Linked DNA regions of Arabidopsis thaliana. The protein of the gene in region 1 purifies or fractionates together with the protein of each later gene. This does not show direct contact. Each region holds a gene or a part of one and is shown on either strand. Other genes may lie near its edges.

Region 1 (5,067 bases):
ATGGAATTCAATTAATTATTATAAATTTAATTAAATAAGAAAATCATAAAATTAATATTTTCTATTAATCCAATGATCATTTCAGAGAGCCTCACCGTTGAGGATGCTTTTACGTTTGTCAATAGATTAAGACAAAAATTAACGTTCATTATGGTTCATTTTTCAAAAGAGTAAAATTGTCTACCATCAGCATGTAGAACCATCTATTGTTAATCTTTGTGGTACATATAGAACTGACAGTTATAAAGTCGTCGACAAAATCGTTCACCATAAAAAGCTATAGAAATGATTACTTAGTCGTAAAAGTTATATTGATCATTCGTAATAGGATATGATTAGCTCACAGAAGTTGTAGAATGAGTTTATAGTTGTGCAGTAAATATTTTTTGCAAGGAAGGCTAGCAAATACTTTGTGAAGATCTGAATCGCATTTCACACATTTGTAGCACTCATCGTTATTGATAGGAATACAGTATAAATTTTATAAATTAATAAACAAGAAAAATTAATAAATTTTGCTAGTTCCAGATCGGACAAATATAAAAATTAACTAAAATCGATAAAATAATAAGATAATAATTTTTTTAAAAAATCTTATATAAAAATATGGTCCCACTAATATTATAAATTAATAATTGATTTTTGTAACATTTTTTATATGAAAAATCATTGCTAAGATTTGTGATTACGACACTTGAGTTTTCTGACATTTTAGATATACAGGATGCATGTTTGATCAGAAAATAAAATAAAAAAATATAGGACAAACAGAAAATAGTTGTCATTACTAAAACAAGAATTTTTGTGTTTACTAGAACCTCAAAACAAAACATTGAGAAACTGAAACAGAATCATCAGCTTGTTTTTTCAAAGTGAATAACAGAGTTTTTCACTGCCCTTTAGGCCCTCTCTTCTTCTCTGAGCTTATTCTTTTCTTACTCTTTCCCAAAATCCGCGTTATAGTGAGAGCTCGACTCAAGCTTCTTGGCCTCGCTCAGCTTTCTCACAGCCTGTACAACAGACAATTTGATAAGCAGAAAAGTTTGGGTACAAAAAAATATGTAAACATGCGGAGTATTTATTTTTGTTTCTACCTTCATGAAGTCTTCATGTATTACATAGTCACGCTCTGCTCTGATTGCGAACATTCCAGCTTCAGTGCATATGTTACGCAGATCGGCACCATTGAAACCCTAAGGATGTTGATTGAATGGAACAATCAGTGGGATCTATAATATATAACAAAGGCAAAAACTACAACGCAGTGACATTTAAGAAAAACAAACAAACCTCTCCAAGTTTCACGATAGCCTCATAGTCTATTTCTCCATGCTTGGCAATGCCAGATGCGTGGATCTTGAGGATTTCCATTCTTGATTGTTCATTTGGCAACGGGATCTCGATCTTTCTATCTAACCTACCCGGACGGAGAAGTGCTGGATCAAGAACATCCGGCCTGTTGGTGGCCATTATCATTTTCACCTAATAGTATTATCTCCCAAGTATCAGAAGATATTCCATTGTACAAATAATTTTGGGAAACAGATAAATTTAACAATGAAAGTAACCACTTGAAACATGAGTTATAAAACAAAACTACCTTGAACTAAGTTATCCCCAACAAGCAAGTTTCACACCGTAACCACTCAGTTTTATGCACGAGTACTATTCTAAAACTATAGGTCATACCTTTCCAAGTTGGTCAAACCCATCAAGCTGGTTAAGTAACTCCATAAGTGTTCTTTGAATTTCACGATCAGCACTAGTTCCTTCACTAAAACGGCGTCCACCAATAGCATCGATTTCATCCATGAAAATGATACAAGGCTAGCCCCCAAGAAGGAGTGTTAAGAGACAATTCATGAACTTCAATATAAAGCATATCAAGGTATAAGACAAGAGGAAAGAGATGGTATTCTACCTGATGTTCACGAGCATAGTTAAACATTTCTCGAATCAACCTAGCACTTTCTCCAATGTATTTGTCTATGATTGCACTAGATACAACCTAAACATAAAGGTAAAAAAAGAGCTTATTTAGCACAGACAAGGTATAATAAAAAGAACACCAAACCAAACCTTCAACAACAAAATCAAACCTTCAAGAAGTTGGCGTCGATATTGCTGGCAATAGCCCTAGCTAGTAGAGTTTTTCCAGTACCCGGAGGTCCATACAGAAGGACACCCTGGAATGAGAGAAATGAAAATTAGCATTATGGAAATTGAAGTGCGTTTCAACTCTTTTTAGCCATTCATGCAGGTAACCACGGCACAGGGAAACATAAAAAGTGAATCATGAGATAGTTTGTGAAAACAAAAGAAAGGACTGGAGAGAGATCAAGTACCTTAGGAGGTTTAATCCCAACTCTAAGGAAAAGTTCAGGATTCATGAGAGGCAGCTCAATAGATTCCCTAAGTTCTCTGATCTGATCACCTAAACCACCCACAGCTGAGTAACTAATGTTGCCTGGATCTTCATGCAACATGTTATAAACAACAGGATCAACCTACCAACACATACCATCGAATTAAAACCAGTACAAATACACTAAGCAGCTACAAAAAAAAAAAGCAAAAATACTGAAATCAAGCATACTTCACGAGGAAGGGCTCGCATAATTGTCAGCGTAGTCATATCCAGGACAACTCGAGTTCCAGAAGTAAGCTTTTCCTTGTCCACCTTGCTACGACAACCCACCACATAACGAGGGCCACTACTTGCCTTAACAATCACTAAAAAGAAGAAGAAAAAATTCCACCTTTAGATGATAGAAAACACAAAGTGTAGTATTCAATCAAAAACATAAGGTAGCAAGATAGAAAATTACATCGCTCGTTATCAAGAGGACGTAGTACTTCTCCAATAATCTGGCCAACGCTTTGAAGAGACTTCAAATCATCCTCAGTTTTGTTGAATTCCTTCTTAGCTGCTCTTAAATTCTCCCTAGCTGCATATAACCACAAGACCCAGTTTATAAGAACTATAACAAGTGAAATTAAGCTTGAGATCGACTTCAAAATTGACTAATCAAGTGAAACAAACGGTGGAACCAATTCAATTCGAAACTCCAAAACCCCTAAAATCGCGTCACTAATTGAAGTAAAGTCTCGAGATTTCTAATGGGAACGAAGAGTAGGAAAAAACCCTAGATTCGATTTTGACCCACAAACTAAACCCAGAAAACGAAAGAGGAGAATGAGGAAGATTTTGAAATCGAACCTGTTCGGACACGGGATTCGAGCTCCTTGTGATGAAGGAGCTTCTTCCGGTAATCAGTCACCGCCGCGGTACGGCGTCTAGCAGCGTCGTCTCCGTCGCTCATCTTTTACAGATCTCAGAATTTGACACTGAAGCAATTTATCAACTTTTTTTCTGTTTTAAAGTAATTTTGTTTTCTTGAGGAATGGGTTAAGTTAGCTATGAATTAAGGGCTTTTGGGGCTATTTGGGTCCGGCTGGGTGGATCCGTTATCATTCACTTCATCAGCTTCTGTTCAATTCCAAAAATTAAAATAAAGAATAAAAAATTAATTAAAGAAACCTATCTTCTTAAGATTAAAAAATACGTCCAGAAATATTTTAATTTGTAGAAACAAGAAATAAAAACTTTATTGCAATTTGTTCTGCCTAAATTCTGATTTTTTGAAAATTTTAATTATTTTTAATTTTTAATTTTTAGTTTTTTGAAAAAGATTTGGTGGTACAATCAGCTTGAAGCATTGGAGACTTATACACTCACATTAGCCTTATCCATTATATATATGATTTATCATATGTATTATTCAATTCTGATATATAATAGTATTGTTTTTTTTCTCCGGCACATTCTCAAATACATAACTGCTCTTTTAAAAAAAAAAAAAAGTCGAGACTATTTTCTTCTAGAGCGTCTACATAAGATTTTAAACAACCAATGGCGGTTTGCCATCTCAATGGAAGGTTGTAGAGCCTACAAAATTGAATCATGCGATATGTAGGGGCGTGATTCTGATGAGATCGTTGGTTGCATTGGTCAGGTTGAACATAAAGGCTGTCTATATATATATATATATATATATATTTATTTATTGTTAAGAGTTTATAAATTTTATGTGGCACAATTGGTTAGGTAAGGTTTTATATCTTCTAGAGGTCCTGAGTTCAAAACACTCTTGAAACATTCCTTTTTATTTTAAAATATCCAAAACGACGTAGTTTATATTGCGGCTCACTTTTCAAGTTGGTAGTATTGACCTGCATTTTTTTTTAATTGAAGGGTTAAAAAAAAATTGTATTGTAGGATTTTTTGCACAAAAACCATATTTTTCTACATATTGCATAGTTTAAAATTTTAAAATTAGATGTAAATTTGTGAAATGGTGAATAGTATGTGTAAGTAAAAATATGTTGTACTATTTAGGATGTATAGGAATAGAACAAGAATATATTGTACTATTTTTCATAACTCATTCATAAATCAATTTTAATTTAATATACTAAATGCTAAACCAAAAAAACTTATACCCAAACCATAATTATATGTGTAAAACTTGTATAAACTCAAAAATTGAAAATGATGTATATTTTCAAATGAAAAACGGTATATAGAATAGAATAAATAGTATAGGACAAAGTGTTCTAGATAAAAAAAAAAGAAAAAGTTATTAACTATTCAAAAATTGGTGATAGTGGTGGTGACGGACTGACGATGGTGGTGGTAGTGGTAACGACGTGCTGGTTGTTTTGATAGTGGTGATGGTGATTGCGGTGGTGATGGTTACGGTGGTCGGGGTAGTAGCAATATGGTAATAATGATCGTGATTAAGGTGGTTGCGGTGGTGTAGCAGTTTCGGTGGTGATGATGGTGATGGTTGTAGTAGTGACAGCGCTATGGTTGTTGGTATGGTGGCGACAGTTGCAGTGGTAGTGCTGGTGACGACATGGCGATGGTGGTTGCGAATTGCGATGATGGTGATGGTTGCAGCGCATGGTGGTGATGGTAATTATAGTGTACTAGAGTAATGACTAAAAAACAAGAAAAAATAAGGGTATTTTAGTTTATATTGTAGTTTATACACAGAATATCAT
Region 2 (4,388 bases), on another chromosome or scaffold:
GTAGGATAATCTTACAACGAGACACCTGAACCCGTAAAAGATCTTGTGTTTTCCAATTGCCTTAAACGATTTGACGTAGTTTCGTATGTTTAATTCACAATGTCTTTTGACACCGAAAACATGACTGTTCGTTGTTAATTCAATTTTATATGATCCACTAGCTCTTAGATGCAATGATAAACTCTTGATCATTTTTTTTTCCTTTGATGGTTAATTTGGTGTATATACGAGAACGGATGCTGGATAAAGCAAATGATTAAGAGAGACGGCAAAGTCAATGGGTCTGGTTTACATGGTTCCCATTATCCAAAGTCTTTCGTAGTCGTCACCATGTAGGGGGCCACTTATGTTTTCTATTAGACTAAATGACGTCGAGCTAATGATTTTATCATAATTTACGATTTAACATTAAATTCTGGAGTTCTTTGGGTTAACAAATTTTAGATTAACCTTCGAAGGAAACTTGAGGCTGGTCAATTTTTTTGTTAAAACCCTCTGCAGGGCAGGCCTAACAAGGCTGGCTTGGCCTGCTTGACAGCCCTAGTTAGATGACACTACACACTTTTTTAGCAAGGAATTGCAGAACCAAAGAGATAGGAAGTCGTGAACAGATTTCAGATTTAAACCAAAAGACCAGAATACGAGAAAGTCTTGATGGCAGCTATTGAGTTTAAATGACGAAATGGTTTCAACTTCTCAAGCATATAATCTAAACCCGCAGCCATTTTGCAAAGTAAAAATCCAACTAACATCGAAATAAAATAGTTCCAGCGTTACACACACAAGCCTTACATTTCCATTGGAGCCACGTCTTGGTCACCTGCAACACCACCACCTCGTTCTGCTGGTGCAGCCTCGGCAGCTTCGGCCTCACCCTCACCAGCCTCGCCTTCTCCTTCCTCTTCCTCTGGCACTTTCTCAAATGTGTCGATCACTTTCTGTATTGCTTCCTGGTCCAGGAAGTGGAACGGTTCATCGACTCCTAGAATAGCGACTGTGCAGAGAGAACTCTTCAGTGTTTCCCCTTGCAATGTCTCCCTAACAGCCAAAATAGCATCTTTGATCAGATCTTCTCTAGAAGAATCCCCAAAGCTCTCAAACCTGCGTTCCAGATAGGTCTTTGCTGCTTGGGAACGGGATCCAATAGCAAAAGCTTGGTACTCGAAGTAGTTTCCGCTGGGACAGTTGTAGTAAAGGTGGGCTCCAGACTCATCCAATCCACCTACCAGCAAACCAACACCATAGGGTCGTTTCCATGATCGTTGGGTACAGACCTGTTCATAAAGGCAAACATACACATAAATATTTCCTTTTCCAGATCAAGAAATATAACAAAAAAAACCCTTGGTAAAGACAAGAAATATGACAATAATGTAACTTAAGTTGGACCTGTCAAGTAAAATCTCTCCTACAAAAGAGTAAACCAACTAATAAAGTTTGACAATGAGGAAATACAAGACCCTTCCTTTTATAAACACATATAATATATGGGAGCTCTTCCCAATGGCTTTGAAAAGTATTTATGCAGATGTGGATAAAACAGCTAACTTAAGAAACCATTAGATAGGTGGAAAAACAAAGTGAGAAGTAGCACATAATTACAGAAAAGATGTCGAACAAGCACCTAGCAGGAGTAATTGACTGGTAAGATAAGTGCATAGTGGTGAGAACGATGCAAAACAAAGAGCGGAATTCACTTCTTAGAGGTACTGAAAATCAATAACTCCAAATAAAAACTGCAGAAACAAGCAAAAGCACCAGAAGAAACACAAATCTCTTTCTTTTAGAATCCTATTGTTAAGCTCTTAGTTATGGTTAAACTTTTAAATACAAGATTATGCAGCAGTAACAACAAACATGCAAACAATTTCACTAAACAAGATTCAAGTTTCTGCTATGATAAATTAAGAAAACTCTTATTTAATGCAATTTAGAATCCTAATCAGCTCAGATCAAACCCTAAGCACAAAGTCAAGAAGCTAATGGCTAAATTTGAGCTCAGTGATTCACAGTGTAATCGAATTCCAAATTCCTCAAATTTCAATTAACAATTACAACACACTTATCACCGAATCACACAAAACCAAGCGTAATCGATTCCAAATTCCACCAAATCTCAATCAACAAACTACAAAAGCCTAACCTGAGCTTTATCAGCAAGATGAACAACGAGACGACCAACAGGAAGAGGAGACTCATAAGTAAAAGAGTGATTAATCGATTCCGATCTCATATACCGAGACAATACACGACCGTCGGCTGTGAGACCAGCGATTGCAACACCGATATGGTCATCGACTTTAAAGATCTTCCTCTGATGCGAAGAAAGCTCCGATTGAGCTTTGTTAACACAAGCGAGAACGACATGAGAACGAGATCTGAGTCCAATTGCTGCAGATCCTTGCTTCACTGCTTCCATGGCGTATTCCACTTGGAATAAACGACCTGTTGGACTCCATGTCGTAACATCTGTGTCGTATTGGTTTCTGAACATCTTTGCTTCTTCGTCTCGCTTTCTTCTTCACTCGTCGTCGAAAGGGTTTATAGAGACGAAAGTTCAGAAACAAAACTTTTCTTTTCCTTCAAGCCATGGATGCTCTCGATCTCTCTCTCGATTTAATGGGCTTCTATTAAATTCTGGGCTTTGTATTGGCTCGGTATCTAGCTTATTGGGCTAAGACTTTAGGCATATGTTTTATACAGACTTTAGGCCTATGTTTTTATACAGGATAATCCTTGTATATTCTTTTTTTTTTTTTTGATGAAATGTGAAATTGTTTAAGAATCTTTAAATATGTACAAAAGAGTTTGGTCAATAGTTCTCAGTAAAAAAAAAAACATTAGACAAAACAGAGCACACTAGCTTGAATATTCTTGTATATTATTTGAAACTAAATAAAAATGAATTAATTTTATAAATATAAAACTTTGCGATTTTGTTATTAGTAATCATATAATTTGAATTGTTACAAAAAAAAAGTCTCTGTGATTGATCCTATTTAAAATTTTAGAACATTTATCATTTTTAAAATTGATATCTTAAAATTAATTTATTGTATATTTCTAAACTTTTATGACAGCTGAAAAGTCATACATTTTTAGTTTTGACGAATATAGTGATGAAGTAGATCATAACATGTGCTTGTACAACACTAATAGAATTTTGATTTTTAAATATTTATTTAAATTTGAATTATTATTTGTTTTATAATATAGTTTTAATCATTTTATACATAATATAGAAGTGGATTGGTAACGATTGTTATTTTCGACTATTATTATCAACTGTATGATAATTAATCGTTGAGTCTTTAAGAATATCGCGAAAGTTCATATTGTCTCATACAAGAAGATTAACAAAAGCATATTCAGTTTAGCTCAAGTTCCTTAAACTGGAATCACAGATGACTAGGGGATTGAATTTTGTAGCATCGATAAAAACTTAACTACTCAGATTTTTGTTGTAGCCACAAAATCAATCACCCAATGAGATCAAGTTCCTTTACCTCCACAAACAAAGCTCTACAACTAAGCTTTTGTATTGTTATAACGTAGTTTCTAGTCTATGTATGTTAGATCAAGTAAATAAATTCAGCACTTTTGTGGTTTTATCTCCCTAAGATCAGTTACTAGTTCATGACGCTAACTAGCTACATGCAATAAGAACAAACCTAGAACGAAAAACTTCTAAAAACAAGCTATTTTAAAATCGTCACTTACCTTATTCAATTATGAAATCTCCTTTGATGAAACTTTTAAACCCAACTAACAAACTAGTAATAATAATAAAAAATTAATTTAACTATTAAATCTAATTTGCCACTAAAAGAAAATTATGTATCGGTTTGAGTTTATTAGAAAAAATGAGAGTTTAGATTTTATGATTAAACGAGGTTAAATATCGGTTTGGGTTTACAAAATACGATTAGGGTTTAGATTTTATGATTATACGATGTTAAATATTAGTTTGGGCTTATAAACATATTTAGATTTTACAATTAAACTAGGTTAAATGTCGGTTTGGGTTTAGAAAATACGATTATGGTTTGTTTTTTAACGATTAAATAAGTCTAAATGGCGGTTTGGGTTTATAAAGGAGAATTAGGGCTTAGATTTGGTAATTAAACGAGATTATATATCGGTTTGGATTTACAAAAAAGTGGGGTTTTAATGATTTATTTTAATTATTTTATTTTGATAATATTAATTGTTTTAAGTTTTTTTAATCAAATAACATGGCAAATATTGATTTGTTATTAAAGAGGGGGTGAATAAATTAGGTTCACCCCCTAGAAGTGAACCCAAGAATTATTCTTTATTTGATATTTGATGATTTGTTTTCAAAATTTTAATTTATTTATTATATAGATTAGTTAAAGTTAGCATAT
Region 3 (4,140 bases), 4.8 Mb from region 1:
TCTAATATCTTCCACTGCTATAGATTGTAGTGTAATGATAAGTTTTAGACCAATAGAGACTGGGCTCTCAAGATCCTCTTCCCACGGTAACATTCAACTTGAATCAACAAAGCAAGAATTTGAGTATAAGGTACATGTTTTTTTTCACAAGAATCTTTGCCTTTGTTAAATTGTTTTTTCTCATAATTAAACTGAGGTCTACATCGTCGGCAGATACACTTCATTGATCTTGATATGAGACCTTTAAAGAGAATGGAAGCCTATCACGAATCAGACAAGAAGATCACAAAAACATACCAGGAGATGCTCAAGAAGAAGAAAGGAGATCAACCTCGGCGCTTCTAGAACTACAAAGCTATAAGAATCAGATTTCATATCTCATAAGAGTATTTTATGTTTCGTAACAATTTCCTACTGTTTTCACTTGTATCAATTCATAAGACTCAATCTAAGCATTAAAGCATCATGTTAACAAATCCAAGGAAAGGGGAATACATGTATGTACTATGTTTGTTTTTAAAATGGTTATTATAAAATAAGTTGAGAAAAAATATCATTCTACTGAATTTGTTTGACTTTATTAATTCGTTCTTCTGTTTTTACTGCTGATGAAATGTCGATATCAACACTTATTATACTAGATCATTCATAATTGATATTGTTCCTTGAACAATTTATACATGTTAGACTGATTAATTGCAAGAACTTAGAAATAGACATGCATTATTGCAAAATGTCATTTCATGGAAGCAAATATCTAACAAAAGCCAAACATAACTAAATTATGATTATCCTTGTAACTGAAACTCCAATATCAAAAACTGATAAAAGACAACCAAGAAACAAGACCGGAAAGATAAATATTTGCGATAACCAAAACCTATAAACCAAACTCATCTCATGAAGGTCTTAAGCTTGGTCTTCACCCTCAGTGATAACCTTGGTTGCAGAAACAGCCTTAGTCGACAGGAAATCAGTGTGCTCTTGGTACGGCGATCTGGAGAATCTAGTCTCTTTCCAGAACTCTGGTGTAAGGAACCCATATGTCTTCTGTAAGCAATCGAATGTAGCCTGTATCATAACACCAACAACATCAACACTATGGTTAAGATAATCAAGCAACATCATGCCAAGAGTTCAAAAAAGAAATCAAGAATATCAATCTATCACAAATTATGAAGCATCTACATCCATCAAATTAAGTACTTGAGATGAAAATCATCAACAAAATCTATGATCATCTACAAATTGCAATCAGCTACATTTAGACGCTTCATTTATCACCAACTACTAAGCAAATGTGAACTAAATCCCTATTAAGGGATAATCAAATCATTAAAAGCAGAGCTAAATCAAAGAACTCTACAGCTAAACATTATCAAATGCTTCAAAAAAGAAGGATCAAAATCAAACCTTGACAAAGTTTCCAAGGGTTTTGGTAGATCCTCTTGAAGAAGTAAAGACATCATCAATACCAGCGAACTGAAGAACCTTCTTAGGAACCCTAGCAGCAACAATACCAGAACCTCTCGGAGCAGGAACCATTCTCACAGTAACAGAACCACATTTACCAGTAACCTTACAAGGCACAGTGTGTGGCTTCCCAATCTTATTCCCCCAATAACCTCTCCTCACCGGAACCACTGATAGCTTAGCAAGAATAATAGCTCCTCTAATGGCAGTAGCAACTTCCTTAGAACACTTGACACCCAAACCAACATGACCATTTCCATCACCAACAACAACAAAGGCCTTGAATCTAGTCCTTTGACCAGCTCTGGTTTGTTTCTGAACAGGCATGATCTTCATAACCTCGTCTTTCAACGTAGGACCAACAAGATGATCTATGATTTGGTACTCCTTTACTGGGAGAGAATGAAGATAGATCTGCTCTAGCTTCGTTATTTTATTGTCAGCCACTAGACGACCTAGTTTGGTCACTGGAACCCATTTCGTTTCTTCCGAGGCACGGCCTCCACGTCTTCCACGGCCTCTTGGACCACGATCACGGCCACGGCCACCTCCACGTCCACCGCCGAATCCACGCCCGAAGTCACCACGGTCACCGCCACGCTCTGCGCCGCTTTCTCCTCCTCTTTCCGCCATTTTCGATGAAGTAAACCCTAGCGGATTCACAAGTTTTAGTTTATATAGGTGAGCATAAGATTAGGGTTTTCGAAAGTCTGAATTATGGGCTTGTGGGCCGAATGTTGATATAATTGTTTTGTTGAGATACAAACCAAGAAGCCCGGCCCAATAACATAACTTATTCAATAACACCCAATATAGTACGTGATATGCAAATTGAGTGGAATTGCTTTGCTTATCTTGTGATCTTAAGAACTATGTGCGTATTGTTTTACTATTTAGAGACTTTATGCAAATTGAGTGCAATTGGTTTGCTTGTCTTGTGAAACAAATTCTCAAGACATTTGTTAGACATTTATGCAAACCATTGTGAACTCAAAGATCGTAAACAAATGTAATTCGTTTGTTGTCAGTAATAAATAGGTCATACATTTTAAAGCTGAATCTCATTGTATCATCTCTCAAATGGCTAGAATTTTCTTCGGCTTTTTAGTGTCGCATCATTCTCTTATTTAGGCCACTTTCCAATTGGTTATGAGGGCGAATACAACCAATTTTAACATCTAACGTGTTTGTGTTTAAAAGAGTAGTGAGAATTTTTTGATTAGTGAGTCTCAAAGTTAATAATTTGATGAGTAAAGATATAGTATAGTACATTAAAAAATTGAGTAATGAATGTATACATAAGAGAATGAGAATAAAAAGAACAAAAAAACAATATTCAGATGTTCAACATCAATAGACTTTGCTCAAATATTTGTCGAGTAAATTGTCGACGATAACTTGATAAGCTCTTTCAGATGGATGATAGCTATCCCAAAATATGTATGCTGAAGAATTAGAACACGTAAATGGGTTCAATGAGTTACACAAATAGGATATCGCAAGCAATCCTTTACCGCAACATCCTCTATCAGCTACCTCAAAACCTGAAACAAAACGAGATCATTTGAATAAAATATAGTTTAAAATATATAATAAAATTAAAATATAAATAATTTCTATGTAGATAAATATGTTAGATGAACTTACCGTATTTTTTAGGGTGTTGGATCATGTCGAAAAGAGTATCATAAACATTAATGTAAAGGATAACACCATCTAGCTCTTTATCTAAAGAATCTAAAGCTGGAGAAAGTCTTGCGTTAAATTGTTTTGCCATGTTGTTTAGAGGTTGATTACATCCTCTTGTAAAAAAACCTCCAAAAACTGTTCTTTGGAGTGGAACACAACCGACGGGGACTGCACTAAACACTCCTATTTTCCGAGCTCCAAGCTTATGTAATTCCTAATTATCAATTATCGATAAGATAAAGTATTTAGTGGATAAAACAATATATTATTGATTAGTTTCTGTATTATTCTATATATTTACAATAAAGTACTTACTCTCACGAAATGGACAGCAGAGTCAGCCAAGAAATTGGCATAAGAGGTACGATCATATCGATGAGTTTGAGCTAAATAAGTGTGAGCAAGGTCATTGCTACTAGACACCACAAGAAAGAAACTATGTTCCAAGATATCTTTGGCTTTTTCTTCTCCGAAATGCCTCTTGATCTTTGATATATATTCTTTGAAATTTATGAGTTGATCCCACACCGATATTACTGACTATAAAAATAAACATAAATGTAAGAAAAAAGAATTACCCATAAAAAAACTAAGGATCGTGATAGAAAAAAATAAGATATATTGTACCATAATTTTTGCTGTCAATGGATCATAACCAGTTCCTCCAGATGCAAATGTTACACCTTTAAGAAGATCCTCTGGCTTCAAATACGGATTCATATATGCTGGTAATGTCTTAGCCAATCCCAACTTTTCCGCTGAAATATTTTTAAACATATTTATCAGAATATAGATAAATATATATGATTCATAATTTAGAAAAATGTAATAACAATTCAATTGGTTACCAATAAGATCAGAAGGAACTCTTCCATCAGAAAATCTTCCAGTAGCGAAGCCTCCAGGATAATCTTTTCCATATGGAGGAAAGTTACACTTTAGAAGAGTGGGAAGATTATTGTTATTTCCTGTATCCAT

Evidence for each region.
Region 2: the proteins of AT1G45000 (region 1) and PAF1 fractionate together in Arabidopsis thaliana (co-fractionation; one large-scale study listed by BioGRID). This does not show direct contact.
Region 3: the proteins of AT1G45000 (region 1) and AT1G59359 fractionate together in Arabidopsis thaliana (co-fractionation; one large-scale study listed by BioGRID). This does not show direct contact.

Annotation. Positions count from the first base shown.
Region 1 is NC_003070.9:17,007,476-17,012,542, reverse strand, and holds AT1G45000 (AAA-type ATPase family protein), read right to left. Parts: upstream 3,493-5,067; 5' UTR 3,324-3,492; coding exon 3,221-3,323; intron 2,949-3,220; coding exon 2,829-2,948; intron 2,734-2,828; coding exon 2,597-2,733; intron 2,508-2,596; coding exon 2,346-2,507; intron 2,187-2,345; coding exon 2,100-2,186; intron 2,009-2,099; coding exon 1,922-2,008; intron 1,828-1,921; coding exon 1,690-1,827; intron 1,483-1,689; coding exon 1,291-1,482; intron 1,194-1,290; coding exon 1,095-1,193; intron 1,011-1,094; coding exon 936-1,010; 3' UTR 614-935; downstream 1-613. Other genes in the region: AT1G44990 (uncharacterized protein), read left to right, coding at 4,735-4,784, 4,827-5,001. UniProt on the Arabidopsis thaliana protein: The 26S proteasome is involved in the ATP-dependent degradation of ubiquitinated proteins. The regulatory (or ATPase) complex confers ATP dependency and substrate specificity to the 26S complex.
Region 2 is NC_003076.8:17,158,482-17,162,869, forward strand, and holds PAF1 (proteasome alpha subunit F1), read right to left. Parts: upstream 2,676-4,388; 5' UTR 2,495-2,675; coding exon 2,144-2,494; intron 1,275-2,143; coding exon 789-1,274; 3' UTR 563-788; downstream 1-562.
Region 3 is NC_003070.9:21,841,628-21,845,767, forward strand, and holds AT1G59359 (Ribosomal protein S5 family protein), read right to left. Parts: upstream 2,193-4,140; 5' UTR 2,107-2,192; coding exon 1,414-2,106; intron 1,072-1,413; coding exon 910-1,071; 3' UTR 563-909; downstream 1-562. Other genes in the region: AT1G59312 (Inositol-pentakisphosphate 2-kinase family protein), read left to right, coding at 1-130, 214-345; AT1G59406 (GDSL-like Lipase/Acylhydrolase superfamily protein), read right to left, coding at 2,824-3,017, 3,121-3,376, 3,478-3,702, 3,790-3,920, 4,011-4,140.